2 linked regions of the Diceros bicornis minor genome follow. The protein of the gene in region 1 interacts with the protein of each later gene in a pairwise test. Links are inferred from orthologs where the notes say so. Each region holds a gene or a part of one and is shown on either strand. Other genes may lie near its edges.

The links. The genes of interacting proteins can lie anywhere in the genome.
Region 2: the proteins of EXOC2 (region 1) and RALB interact in a two-hybrid assay, tested with the Homo sapiens proteins (2 studies listed by BioGRID). The link is inferred for Diceros bicornis minor from reciprocal best matches to the Homo sapiens genes EXOC2 and RALB.

The regions. Positions count from the first base shown.
Region 1 is NC_080753.1:65,647,081-65,654,690, reverse strand, and holds the start of EXOC2 (exocyst complex component 2), read right to left. Parts: upstream 3,019-7,610; 5' UTR 2,941-3,018; intron 1-2,940. UniProt on the Homo sapiens protein: Component of the exocyst complex involved in the docking of exocytic vesicles with fusion sites on the plasma membrane.
Region 2 is NC_080749.1:12,473,135-12,480,860, forward strand, and holds the start of RALB (ras-related protein Ral-B), read right to left. Parts: upstream 3,010-7,726; 5' UTR 2,871-3,009; intron 769-2,870; exon of another isoform or gene 676-768; intron 1-675. UniProt on the Homo sapiens protein: Multifunctional GTPase involved in a variety of cellular processes including gene expression, cell migration, cell proliferation, oncogenic transformation and membrane trafficking.

The DNA of each region.
Region 1 (7,610 bases):
TGGAAAAGGACTTTAAAAATTCATCAAAGCTTACAGATGAAACTAGGTGCCAACCTTGCCAAAAGCAGCACAGCTAGCAGGAAGCAAGGAGAGCAGTCCTTCGGCGCTGCCCAAGGAGCACCGAAGGCTAACTGTGCCAGGCGCCACGTGAAGGCCTGCCTGGATCCACCTGGTGCAACTACATTCTAATTAACTAAAATCCAGGCTTCCCAAATTTCAGTGTCCACTGTTCTTTCCATTATTGGCACCAAGATTTATTTTAAGTGGGAAATAGTAAGTACAAGGAATTACTAAAGCCAAAACCAAAAATAAAGCCAACTGTATGATCCACCCCAGTCTTAAATGCTACCAACAACATTAAGTTAAAGAATACTCATGAAGCTTTTGAGCAAGCCTAATACAATTTTCCAGAAAAAAAAAAAAAAAGCCTAGTAAATCAGTCCAAACTCCTGTGCCTGACCTTCAAGGCATTTCATAATCCAAAATGTGGCCTTTGTTCCTGGTATGCCGCCAGATGTTAACATGCCCTCCCTCCAAAGGACCACATCCTCTCCATCAAGGTCTGACCTCCATGAAGCCTTCCCAACAACTCGAACCCCAACAGATCCTTCCCTTCTCTGAACTCCTGCTGTACTTACACTCAATACTACAGTTTAGTTCTCAGCAATTCTTTAATCTTTAATCTAGAGGGCAAAAACACCCCTTCTGAATCCAGGCTAATACTATTTTATTTCTAATGTGTGTGTCAGGCATATGCTAAAATTGGCAGACACAAAAATGACTGAGACTAAGCCCTGTCTGGCAAGAGCTTAGTCTTTTGACAGATATGTAAATACCAGCAATAGCTATAGCCCTGAAGACAACACAGGGTTATCCCTGTGCTAAGTGGTTACAGGATTCACTGAGTTGGAAAATTTCAAAGCCAGAAGAACTGTTTGAGATAATCTAGTTTTATGTATTCTCTGACTACAGGAAAAAGGAAACTGAACCCCAAAGAAGCTAAGTAACAGCCCACACTACGAAGCAGGTGGGTGGCAGCACATGGACCACTAAATGTTTGCTTTGACTCCTAAACCAAAATACCTTTTGAATCCATAATTTCAAACTGAAGTCCAAGGATGCCTATGGGTGTGTCCACAGCTTCAAGAGTCATAATTTCTCTACAATTACTTTGTGTTTGTATCAATAATAATTCTTTTAAATTAACATAAACACACTGAATCATGTGATTATAATGGAACACTACTACCATGCTATTTTACCAGGCACTCCAGGGGAGCCATGAACATATTCCCCAGGGTCTGAGAACAATCAACATTGTAGACTACTGCTTTGCAGAGTGATCAATGTTATTTCTCCTCCAGTCAATTTCAAAATTCTCTCTACTCATTACTGACCTAAAACTCATCCATTCAATAAGCTCCTACTATGTGTCGGGTGCTATACTAGGTTCCTGGCTGACAAAGATGACTAAACTGGAGAAGGAGTGAAAAAGAAATTGAGAGATGAACTGCATACCCACATTTCCCATATGGCCTGATCCTGCCCGTGCCTGACACCAAAAATTGTCAAAGTCCTTTATTAGAAGACTGTCTTGCCAAAAATTTTTGGGTACCAATTTCATTTCTCATAGATTCATACACAGCAGGCTCTCAAATATTTGTGGAATGAATGAAAATTTAACTCAGCAGGTTAATAACCATCTTTTAGAAAGGTAATATAGTTCAAAATGATAGTCAGTACAGGATATTAAACACTTGACAAGAAAAAATATATACTTTCTGAAACTTCCAAGAGTTGTTCCAACTTACTCTGGGGGATCCTCTGCTTCTCTGCTTAAAATTATTAAGTTTCTACTTAATCCAACAGAAGAGAACATTTGAGTACTAAGCACACATTATCCTCTTTCTATTACCACCCTTTGAGTCAACAACTTTCAACACACAGATGATCCCTGGGAAGCTTTTGGCTTTCAGTTCCTTTGACATTAGAGTCAGTTACACAAAGTCTGGCCAGAATATATGTACTAACATTTATAAACAAAATATTATTATGCATTAGGAGACGGATGCACATAACCTCAGTTAGAACTAGCTTTTCAATACAGTGTCCCCAAACGATTTAATTAAGGTGTGGCTGATTCTTAAAATATTTTTCAACGGTTTCCTTGTAAGTTTATTCAGATTCATAAAAAAAGAAACAAATTTTCTCATAGTTATTAGTATGATTGACCTTTAGCGATTAGAAGTAGATTATTCCCATTTAAAGACAAGCTCTTTCAAAAACTGTTTCTTGGAATTAACAAAGTGTCTATTTGCAAAATCTTGGGGTATCAAGTTCAGCACCAGCGGGCGTAGAGGAGAGAGAACACAGTGGCTGGGTGTGCAGGCTCTGGAGCCTCGCTGCATGGTCCCAGGGGCAGCTCAAACACCGAGGAGTATACAACCTCAGGCTAGCACTTGACCACTCTGAGCTCCCGTGTCCCCAACAGTAAAACGGGACACTACGTCAGCATCCACTCTCTCGGGCATTACGTCAATCAGGGGACGCAGACGCTGAGAACGGTGACAGGCACCAGCTCCTGTCAGGAACCTGACAGGTACAGCTCCCAACCGAGGCGAAACCGCCTCACGCCGCTGTTCACGACCCCACCCTCAGCCTTACACGGGACCGCCGCACAGGGCGCGAGGGGCCGGGGAGGCCAGCACGCCCACCCCCGAGGGTCAGCGTCGGGGCAACGCCCGGCCAGGACGCGGAGACCCGGGGGTGCCGCCGGCGCGGGTGGCGACCGCCCCTTCCCCACAGGCGGCCCGGTAGCGGCAGAGGCCGGGGCCGGGGCCGGGGCCTCCTCCGACCGCCCGCGCGGCAGGCCGCCCGCCGCCCTGCCGGCCCGCGCTCCCGGACTGGCCCTGCGCCGGTACGCGGGGCTCCGACACGTACCTGCCGCCCGCTGGCCGCGCTCCGGCCGCGCCGCCAGGCCTCCCTCTCGCCAGCGCTCCCGGCCGGCCGCCCCACCGCCGCGCCGCACTTCCGCCCCGCGAGCGCCGAGGGCGTCGATCCGCCGCGCAGTCGAGCGCCGAGTCCTCGATGGCCGAGCCTCCGCGGAGGGGCGGGGCGGGCTCCGCACTGGGGTGGGGGCGTGCCGTGTGCACCCTCCGGCCCCGCGACGTCGGGTCCCGCCAGAGACGCCGGAGGATGGCACTCGTTGCTTTTGTGGTGGGCCCTGCCCTGAGCCAGGACGCTGCAGCGGGTCAGGACACTGGCTCCAACGAGGCCCTGGGAGGCTAGGTGACACACAAAGCCACAGGACCATGGACGTTGCGGAGGAGAATGCCAGTCTACAGCCTGGAAACCCTGAGTGTGATCGTTTCAGTTCGGCAAACTTAGTGAGCACCTCCACCGGCTGGGCGCCGTGCAGGGCGCTAGAGACGCACAGGCGAATAAAGGCAGTCACTTCCTGTCAGGATCTCCCTGGGCTGAGGATAAACCGTGGCATGGCAAGAGGAAAAGAGATGGCACTGAGGGAGCGACTGCAGCAGTCTTGTCAAGAAATGATGGTGGTCTGCACTAAGGGGACAAAGGTGGGGACAGGGGAAAGTGATGAGAAAATACTCTTCTGGTTACTTCTCTTTTATTAGCGAAAGCAGCAGCAAGATCATCCATGAAAACAGAGGATGCAGGGCAAGGGAGGTGTGAGGAGGAAGGAGAAAGGGTGAAATCTTTATCCTGAATATTGTGAAGAAAATTACTAAGAAAATGTGGTAGGATTTCCAGGCAAAGCTGAAAGTCCCCTTGGGATGTGTAGTCCTAAGTTTAAAATGGGACCAGTCAGCATGTGTATGTTTTGGCTGCTCTAGTGCAGATAGAGAGTTAGCAGAAAATTAGTTGTAACCTAGGTTGGAGATAGGCAGGAGCAGGGAGCAAAGGACTTGAGGGTCTATGCAAAGAAATGACATTATGGAGAACCATGGAGTTTAAGCTGAGTGACAGGATATTTAGAGGGATTTTTCTGGCTGTCCTGGAATTGGCCACTTAGACTGGAAAAGGGGGCAGATAACTAGGGTGACCACATGTCCCACTCTGCGTGAGATAACCCTGGTTTTTGTCTGTTATCCTGGCTTAATTATTGAGTGTCCCTTTCATGGTCAAGTGTCCTTGTTTCAACAGTATATAGTAACCCTAAAGTCACTCCACATTTTAAAGAGAGCCCCAAACAACCGGGGTCGGACACCTCTTCGAAGCTTAGAAGAGACTCACCCAGTTGGCTCTAAGCCAGGTTAGTGCTTGCTGACCTGAGACACGCAGGAGCCTGTGCTTGCTGCCATCAGAGTGGAGGTGAGCATGGGGGGTCCCGTTCTTGGGAGAATTGGCCTACCACTGGGACTGTATGTGATCAAGAGTGTGCTACCTGCTTCCCTTCTAGAAATTCCCAAAGGTAGGAGACCTGTTGGAGTAACCTGCTACAGCTGAATGGAGAGGAGGGTAGCTGTGGAGCAGAGGCACAACCATGGTGGGGGGTCTTGCCATCTCTTAGCCCAGGAATTCACACTTACACCTTACACAAACTTTGTGTTTGGCCAATCTGTGTGTCTCACATGAATGCCTACCAGACAGCATCCACAGCAGAGGGGCACCAGAATGATTTGACCAGCCTCTGTCCTGGGCCAGCCCAGGGTTTGTACAATGGGCCTATGAATGGAGTAGCCATGGTGGCAGGGATGGAGCTGCACGGACCCCTCTTAACAAGGTAGATCTAGACAGTGTGTTCCCCCTCCAGCTGCAGAGGCCAATGTGCAGCTAGAGGTATGATACCTTCCCTCGAGGAGACCAGGCAGCTCCTTGGTGGCAAGGTGATTTCCTCAGACCCAGTTACATATCTTGGGTTTGGGTTTGTCTTCCCTGCCTGCAGGGCCCTGGCAAGCATCACTATCCAATTGCTCACACAGGGTCGGATTTATCATCATGGAATTTCCCATAGTATCACCTGGGACCAGGGACCCCTTTAAGAGTGAAAGAGGTATGACAAAGGGGACAATACCACAAGAGCCAATGGTTCTACATACATCACACACCCAGAAGCTGACACCCTGATAGAATATTAGAATGGCCTCTTAAAGGCACAGCTAAGGCTCCAGCTTAGGGGTAACATTTTGCAGCATTGAGCTGCTGTGCTATGGGATGTAGTATATATTTTGAACCTAATACCAGCGTACAGTGCTGCGTCCAAATAGAGTCCTGGCTCCTATGGCAGGAGAGGATGCTTTGCCAGGGGACACAAGATTCCACTATATCTAAAGCCCTCTCCTCGTTTGGGATCCTCATACAGGAAACAAAAAAATTGACCTTTACGATCAGGAGGATATAGGAGCAGGGAGGATTATTTCTGGACCTCAAGGCACTCACTGGGCATCTTTTCTATGCCTGGTGATATCAGCAAATGCGCAATGCAGCAACCCTGGCCTGACAAGGGCATGGCAACCAGAGGCTCAGATCCTACAGGGACGAAGGTCTGGGTCACTTCAAGCAAGCAACCTGGGCCAGCGGAAGTGCTAGTTAAGGGTGAGGGGAATCTAGAATAGGTGATAAAGGAAGAAGATTATGAGAATCACAATGGCCTCAGGACCAACGGCAGCAGGAGCCCATAGCTCGACCTATCAGTGCTCCAGATGTGAGTGTGATGGGACATCAGTGTGAGGAGTCAGTGACAGGACAGCGTGAACACAACACAGCATGCGAGGGATGGACAGTGGCAGAGGCCATCAGAGCCTACCCATATTCCTCTGCTGTGCCCTCTGCTCTCAGAAGGCTTCTTTCTGGGAACACCTGCCCCTCGGTGCCTCAGGGCTTTCTTTCTCAATGCAGGGGAAGCTGGAAGTACTGGCAAGTTCATCGGCCCAAAAGTAGGCTTCAACCAAAGATAGTTGTATAACTATTGGGCTGCCGTTCCCAGGGTAGTTCGGAGGCATGTTATCCAGGGTATTTTCAGAGCTCCCTCGGGAATGCCTTCACAGCACATCTTTTATTGGCTTCCTTCCCTTTCCCACCTGGCATACCCACTCCCTTCCTGGTGTTTCCTGGTATCACCTCCCAAGTTAGATACTAGCCCTTGAAACCATATCTCAGGGTCAGCTTCTGGGGGAATCCAGCCTAAATAGTCATTATTATAGACCAAAAACAGCCTATACTTATTACAACTCAAATATCTTTATGTGCTGAATTGCACACCTGTTAGAGAAATACATCCTGAGAAAAAGAAGATGATATTTTGTACAGATGCTTTGAGTTGTGGGACTTAGCATGACTTCATTTTTCTCTCCTTTACATCAGAAGACATGTCAAAGTCGCTCCAGCATGCAATAACTCAACTGTCCTAGGGTCATCCATTCTAAAACACACAGGAAACGTGAGTCAGAGACCTGGCAGCAGAGGTTGAAAGGAAATTGTTTTCTGTATCCTGGCAGTGGTACCCCACTTCACTGTGAAACCAAACCCTTTTCTTGTCTCGCTTTTGGGTCTGCGTGACACACCATTTCTCAAGTTAGGTGATCCTGCCATTAAGCTGGTATGAATGGCTCTTGAGAACACACAGATCTTTCCTGGATCAAAATAATGACAAATAATATTGTATCCCTGAAACAAAAATACTCAAAAGAGGAAAGAAAACCTTTCACTAATATAAAAATTACTGATGGTGTTTTCTTTCTTTTTTCTTAAATTTCTGGTCCGTATTCTGAAGCCAGTTAGCAAATGTTAGTGCAGTATATACAGAAGCTGGCAGCAAATAAAATCATTAAGCCTAAAATTACAGTAGTAGCTGGTGAGTCAATTAAATATTGTTATACAGCTTTGTGTTTTCAATTCTGCATCAAATTTATTTTGACTTAGAAAAAATAACTATGAAGCATGAAATTCCTTTGGTTTCAGTCTTAGGAAACACTATGACAGACACAGTTCCCTGTTCTTTGTATATATATTTTTTACATTAAATGAGCACCTAGAGTGTTTCATACTGCATGGTATATCAGTTTGTAATGGATCATATTAGTATAGAATCTAATCCTCAAAACAACTGTAATTTGCCATATCTTAGTGATCCTTTTTACCAAAGACTGACAATTGTTGGTCTTCTGTTAACTCATCAATTCTAAGCCCCTTGCTGGCAGATTGCTGTCTTATTTGTTGTCATATGTACCGCAGAGCCTTACAGAGCAGGTAGTCAATACACGAGGCTGGCCCCCCAGTAAGAGCACTAACCACAACCTGTAAATAGATATTGTCTGTTGGCTTACTCTTTGTTGTCTCCTCCCACTAGGATATAAGCTTCCTGAGGGAAGGGACTTTGTATTGTTCACCCATGCTTCACACACAGTAGATGCTCACTAAATAAGTGTTGCATGAAAAGCTAAAGATAATAATAATAATAACAATACATTATGATAGTGGCAGAGTTGGGGGAGATGCCTGTTTCCAGTTATCTATTTCAAAATATGCTTAATGCTCACTTAAAGGTACAAAAAGATGAGCAAAATTTGAAATATAAATCTTGACAATGTTTGAATGATTGAAATGTTTCACTGATTACCATCCAACTTTGTCATTCCTCGCTGGAG
Region 2 (7,726 bases), on another chromosome or scaffold:
CACTTCAGTCAACAACAAACCACATACAATGGTGGTCCGACAAGATTAGTACCATACAGCCTAGGCGTGTACAGTCTACACCATCTAGGTTTGCGTAAGTACACTCTATGATGTTCGCACGACAAAATCACCTAATGAAGCATTTCTCAGAACATATCCCCATCATTAAGTGACACATGATTGTGTTAGCAATTATCAATAGCACCTTTTTCTTCATTTAGATTTCAATTAAAAAAAAAGCAAAAACTCCCAAAAGAGTCTACAACCATAAGAGACAACACTCAGGAAAATTATAAGCAGTTACTTTTTTCAGAGCAACAAAAACTTGAAATTGAGAGCTGGCTGGCATTTTGTAGTTGCTGTAATAACCACGTATACCTTTCCTCTTTGACACTGAGCTTCCATATTCTCTTCAGCTCTCTTTCTGCTCTCACTCATCCAAAAATTCATATAGCTTCTTGCCTACTGGCCTACTTTTTGGAACATCTACGGATATGTACACATATACATGCCTATTTGTCTTCCTAGGTACCAAAAGAACAGAAGAGCTAAAGGAAACAGCTCATGGTCAAATCTCCAAGGCCAGATATTTATCTGGTATTGGTTAGATCAGCGAGTCTGTGCCAAGCAGACAGCCGATGCTCAATAAATGTCAATTTCTCTCTACCTCCTTACCCACTCCACTCTCCTCCACACGATTAGGGAAGAGTTCCATTTTCTCTGGTACTCCACTCTCTTTGATTCAGACACCCCAGCAATATGTATTCACTGAAAAAAAAAAAAAAATCCAAGTATCTTGCATATCTAACAGCAAGGGCTATTTGTTTAGAAGTCATCGGAGCCAAAGAAAAATGGGACTCTTGCATATCATCCTGAGAAAAATTACACTGGAAACCTCAGAAGAGTTCACCAAGATCTCTTTCAACACTGTAGTTTTGGTTTGTTATATTGTCTCCAAATTTAGCTTTCAAGAAAAGGTCTCCAATGATGTTTCTAACTTACATCAATTCCATGAGTGGATAAGAATTTAGTAACTGAATGCAAAGAGGTATTGTGGGAGTGGGTGATGTGGCACAAAGGATGATGTCAACTCTCTGGTTTAAAAATTTCCAGAGTCTCAAGCCATCTTCAGCCAAGGAAAGAACCTTGAAGAATTAACACAAGAATTGAGAACCTTTCCACTTCTTCCACCAAGACCCGTTTAGATCTCATTTAAGGCTCTAATTCTTGTTTTCCTATCTTTATGTGTCTAGGTCCCATATTCCCAAAAGGTATCTAGTAACTTATACCCCTACTTTTTTCCACACAAAATCCTGGGAAAGGTTCTACTCCTCGGGCACAGGGAAATCTTGCTGAGATCTCAGATAAGAGCATCTACTGTTTCCAATGGGAAATACCATGAATAGAAAAGGAAGGAAAGACCCAGATGTGGTCAGAAGAAAGCAAACTAGCTGACACGACTAAAACCACACACGAGGGATGTGTATCCCCAGCCTTATTCCCACCCCTACCTTCATCCCACCCCCACCACCACAAAGAACACCTTATACATTCCTTATTTCGCTTAATCCTAACAAGCAGGATACCCACTATCACCTTTTTACAGCTGTGGACTCTGCCGCACAGAGAGTTGAAAGGCCGTGCTCAAGATCACACCACTAATAATTTCAGAACCAGCATCAAACCCAGGTCTTCACAGTCTGCCCTCCTCCTCTTCCCAATAGTCAACACTACCTTTCACTGCCACCCCATTTTTCTGAGAACTTCAATATTCTAATTGTATTGCTTCAGGTTTAAGGAACATTGACTTTAACTGTTTCGAGCTTTGACATCCAAGAATCTTGTTGCTCTGCCTAGAACATGGGTCATTTACACATCTAAAAGATACACTAGCCCCTCTGATAATCAGTGCCCGCTATCCATCCCTAAAACTTAACAAAAAGAAGGAAGATTAGGAAACTAGGACAAAGCAGAAGGTTCACTGTTCTTCGAGGGTTGCAATAGAGTCACAGATAACTCTAATGAAGAAACAGCCAAGTCTCCACCATTGGCAGTCCTCAATCAGTCCACCAGACACAACTTCTCCCCAGAAGAGTCACCTGATAACAACATCCAAGTTCCAACGTTTCCAGTATTCACCCGAAAATTAGCACAGAAAGCACACTGCTCAAACAAACAGCCTGGGCGCAGCTCCGTCCGCCACTAGCAGTTCTGAACCAACCACGGATAACCTTATAGTACACCTACAAGAGGGCAAGAAGAGAGGTGCTGCAGCCTCGTCCAGACAAACAGTTCAAGTCCATGGTGCTCTCTATCAGACGCCACCTTCGGTGCCAGCCCCTATCAGTAAGGAACCGGGGGGCCGGGGAGTCAAAAAAACAACTTTACGCTCAGTTGCAAGGGAGCACAAAAACAAACAATTAGACCAAACAACTTTTGGAACACGGCCCCACTTCAGTCCAAGTGCAAGTTCTTAAGGTACTAATAAGTTTTGCAACACTTATGGCCCTGACCCTGCCCACAGCCGCAACTCAGGCACTAAGGAAGTGGACCATCCTCGGGCTGGAGGCCCAAAAGGGCAGGAAGTGGAAGCAGAGGCCATTTGTGGGAAAAGGAAAGGAGCGGCAAAAAGGGAGAGGCTGGGGCGCCGCCCCCACTTCCTCAGCCCCAAGCCAGTCTGGGAGGCCTGGAGGCTTTCTCCAGAGGACCGCCCGGAGCCGAGCGGGGCCACTGCCCCGGCGTCGCCTTCCCCCAGGCTCCGGGCGCGACGTGTCCGGCCGCCGGCCACAGCACAGGGCGGCGCACCTACTTCCCCAGCCCGCGCCCCACCCCGCCCGGAGGGGGCCCTGCCAGAGCGCGGACACGCTCACCTGGGACTTGTCCCGCGTCGCCTTGGCCGTCCGCACCAGGCCCGCGGCTCTTAAACCCGCCCCGCCCTCTCCTTCTCCTCCTCGCGGGGCCGGACCCCAGCCGTCCCCTGCCGATTTGTCATTGAGCAGCCCCGGCTCCCTTCCCACCCCACGAGCGCGCCCCCGGCGTCGCCTAGGCAACCCTGCCTCCCGGGAGCGCGCCCTCTCTTCCGTTCCCGCCCTCTCCCTGGAGGCCACGCCCATCGAGAGCCTATTGGCCAATCCGAAGCGGAGCTTCCAAGCCTCGGGAGGCCGTGGAGAAGGCTTCGCCAAGGAGAAGCCGTCTCACGCGGGAGGGGCGGGCTCGGCGCGCCTGCCCCACCCACCTCCACTTCCTTCTTCTTTTCCGCGGCCGGACAGGCTGCACGTGACCGCTGCTGCAGTGAAGGAGTTGGAGCGGGTCTGGGGACTCCCGGCTTGGGCGGGCGGAGGGCGTTCCCCTCCTGGATTTGGGTCAGGGCGAGGCCAAAGTAGTGGAAAGCAAAAGAGAGGAGCAGACCTGATCTAGAGAAACATAGGAAAATTACGATATAGTGCGCGGGTGTCGAAGGGTCCAGGCGGCTGTCGGGACGCCGGCCAGGGGCTCCTGAGGCGGGAGCTCCTCGTGCCGCCACGACTCGCTTGGCTAATGACATCCCATTAGCAGTAATGCAGTTACTTGACCAATGCCTAGCAATAACTTGACCCAGGTCACATACAAGGGCCAGAGTCCTAACCCCAGCGGTAGCCTTGAGGCAGGAAATGCAGTAGACAAGCTCATGGCCGACAGACAGGTTTTTCTCCCACAACCTGCCCCCGTCGTTGTCCTGCAAAGTCCGGGAACTTGTAATTTTCTATCCAAATAGAGCTTAACCTTGGGTTGATTTTCCTAACTAACCGCACCTTCCTAGAGCTGAATCTTCCCCCAACCCCTCACTCTGCCTCCGCAGGATTTGTGGCCCCGTTGACCCCTACACGCAACACTGTATCGCAATTAATTGTTTAAATGTCAGCCTCTATAATCTCTAGGGAAGGAAACTCTCTTGTTCAATTTGATATCCACAGTAGCAGCACCGTGTAATTAATTCCTTCGTTGTTGATAATTAAACATTAGGATACATGTGTATTATATGCGAGGCTTTGTGCCTTGATTAGATTGCTATGTATAATCAACTAACAGGTCCAGGCCCTCCACCACCAAGTGTATCAAAAAGCACAGAAGATTTACTTTAGTCTTAAGTAATAGGCTTAACAAAAAACTGTAACCAGAAGAATATCCTAGTAAATAGAAGAATGTCTTTTTCCTATGGAGTAATAATTAAGTGCACAGGTTTGCAATCAGCATAAGTTCAAAGGAGGGCTCTGCCATATAAGCAGCAGTTAATTAGGAAGTTACTTAGCCTCTGTGGGCCTCAGTTTCCCCAGCTGCCCAATAGGAGCAGTACCTTCACACTATAGGTGTGAAGATTTAAATGAGATTACCTATAAAGCTCTCAGTACAGTACTAGGAACTTGGTGAGTGCTCAACAAACGTTAGCTTAAATTGTGATTGCCACCAGAGGCCAAGATGTACACTTAAGCATGTTATAACCAACCTAGGGTCAGCATTCCCTCTCAAGGCCTGTTGTATCTGGGACTGTGGGACACCACCATAGAGCAACCAGTGGTGTGTGCAGCCTGGTGAAAAGGACCTGCTCTGGTGATGCTGTTTTATCAAATGCAAGTTTAGACAGGAGACCTGGCTGCAGCAGCCTGCCCAAGGGAAATCAGTAGTTAAGGGAACAGGATCAGGGTCATGGACAGACCAGGATTTTCCTGTTCCCACACCCCCAGGACCCACAGCAGGCACAGGGGGTTTTCTCACTTTCCTGGGCTGTGTAACTGCCATTCCTTTGTATTAGTAATGTGATGTTATGCAGGATGCACTGGGCTTTTTGAGAAATGCTACACTCATCCTCTGCCTCCCACCCCTCAACTCCAAACCTCAGGCCCTGTACTCAGGGATTCTACTGGGACTCCACCAGTAGGATCATCTATTCAGCTCCTGGACATGCCAGGCCCTAGCTGAGTGTGGTAGATTCAGAGTGGAATAAAGGACCCTGCCAGACAGTGAGGGACTGTCTCACCGAGGACACGAGCCCAGGAACATGTCCCACCAGGGGAAGAGCACTGAGAGGCCACCGGCCACGACTGCCACTGGGATTGCTCATGTCAGGTCTCAGAGGATACTCTCATCTGCTGAGCTTCTCCTGTGGGAATTCTGACTCCCGGCAGAGCCAGGGGCCTAAGCAGCAGGAATACAAGATCCCCAGCAGGACCCTGTAAGGTCCCTCTAACCCACTGTAGCTGTGGAAAGAACATTCTAGACACTCCCATTTTCAAAAGTATTTACTGAGTATTGTGTGAGTCTTTACTGCTGTTGGGCAGATATTTCCACTTCTCTCTCCTGGGCACTGGATAGGATTGAACTTCCTAGCTTGCTGTCATTGTGTGAGGCTGTGTGACTAGCTCTAACCAGTGACTTGTGAGCGGAAGTGACACATAAATCATTTTGGGGCTGGAGAATTTATTTGCTAACACGAGACCCTCCAGAGCTCTGGTCTCTATGGGACAGTCACTGGGAATGTTTGGGAGTGTGGCTGCTCCACCAGCCTGAGACCCTACAATGAGCACAGCCCCTCTGCCAACCTGCGATGACATTTAGCATGACTAAGAAACAAACCTTTGTGGTTTGAAGGCACTAAGATTTGGGAGTTGTTCATCACTGCCGCCTAGCTGAGCCTGCTCTGACTGCTACAAGGCCCTAAAGTGTGCCAAGCTGGGGGCACAGTGTTGAACAACTCTGACAAGAGAATAGACAATAACCCAGGGAACAAACAAGCAACTCAATAATTACAAATTGTGTCATTACTTGAGACTGAGTGGTCAAAAAAGGTCTCTCTTAGGAGGTGACATTTAAACTGGGAACTGAAGGATGAAAAGGAATCAATCTTGGAAAAAATTGGGAGTGAAGAGAAGGAGAGGACAGAGGACAAGCATGCACAAACTCCTAAGGCAGAAAAAAGCTTGGTACACTTGAGAACAGACAGGAGACTGGATGAGTGCGTGAGCCCAGGGGAGAGTGAGGCCGCAGGACAGGGGAGAGGGAGGTAGAAGCCAGATTATGGGTTATGATAAAGAGATTAGAATTTATTCCAAGGGTGACAGGAAGCTACCGAGGAGGTTCGAGCCAGGAGGGTGACATGCTTTGACTGAGGTTTTAAAAAGACCACTCTGGCTGCTGCAAGGGGCAGATGTGGGAATGGAGATTAGGAGGCTGTTCTGGGAGTCCAAGCAAACTGGAGTCCACAGGGCCGAGGCTAGAAAGGGTAGTCTGCCCTCGGTAACAGGAGATCTGGGGAGACTGCAGGAGGAGGGGAGCAAGAGAGTTGATGACTAAACCAGGAGTCCTCCTGCCAAATCCCAGAGGACGCAGAGGCAAGGCTGGAAGTCAGGACCCCTAGAGGTGCTTTGACCCCAGGGATATGGGTGCTCAAAATCCAGGCAGGAATGGAGGAGGGTGTGGAGAAGGCAGCTGACCAGTTTCCTAGAACATCAGTCAGCATCAGAGACGTGCTCCACTGAGCTGCAGGATTATATAAATAGATGGTATTATTAGAAAGAGTCTGACAAGCTCCGACATCCCTGTGGGCATTTGGTATTTGGTGATTAGAAAAGAAAGGAGCCACAAATCTACAGATGGAAAAATGAAAAAAAAAAAAAAAAAAGCCATTCTTGCCCACTGAAGAAAATGGGAAGAATCTACTGTAAACAGCAAAACTAGATGGAGCTCATCTTCAGCTCTTCAGTCATCTTTCTATTCTGTGTTTCTCCACCCCTCAGGGCCCAAATGTTCTCTGTCCACTTCTTGCTCTCTCGTTCTATTCTCGGGAACGGGTCTCATAGGCTCATTCACACGCAGGAATAAATGACTGATGACAGCTCAGTGGGTACCCACTCCTTCCTGGGCATTTGTATCATCCAGTGGATGAAAATCTAATGTCCTAGATCAAGAGAAGTATGGGGGGCAGAGACCACAGATCTTTAATTCACACTACTAGAATGGAGTGATGTATCCCTCCTCAGGAAAAGTTTCCAACTCTCGAGTTCTCACCCAAGGCAACAGGTAAGGTAATACATTACTGGAACCCTCCTCCAAAGCCTGGGCAGTAGCCCCAAGCCGCCTTTTCCTTGCAGCCTTCTGCTGGCAGCTACCAAGAAAAGCCCCTGGTATTTACTTACTCCCAAACGTATCCAAAATCTTGACTTTGGTGCTCAATTTAGTTATTGCCACTGTAAAAGACTTACTGGGGGTTTTGAAAACCACTTTTGCTAAGTGTTTTAATGAGAGCTTCTCTTTCCCTATTACCATCTTTCTTTGTGGGCTCTACAGGCCCAGCCAGCCAGCAGGAACTAAACAGATGTTCCCGGAATCGCTCTGCTGGAAAGGCAGAGGCCCAAGTAATTACATAGAAGATAAACCTTTCATCTTCCAAAAGAATTAATCTACCTGGGAAACATGTTAGAAAAAAATAGTTCATGTCTATTTTCCGTTATTGAATTAGCTGGACTTATCTTTTTGCCATCATAGCTTACAAAGAGTTATCTCCCAGAAATAAAGTCAAGTCTGTCTTGTCATTGAGTAATAAGTCTTCATCATTATCTCCCGTCCCTACTACATGCCGGCTCAGGTTCTCCCCTTCCCTCTTTGTGGAGACACGTGCTCCGTACTTCCAAAAATTTGCACAGTCAACAGCCGCCACAGACCTGATACTGACCTCCAGATAACCAGATACAAG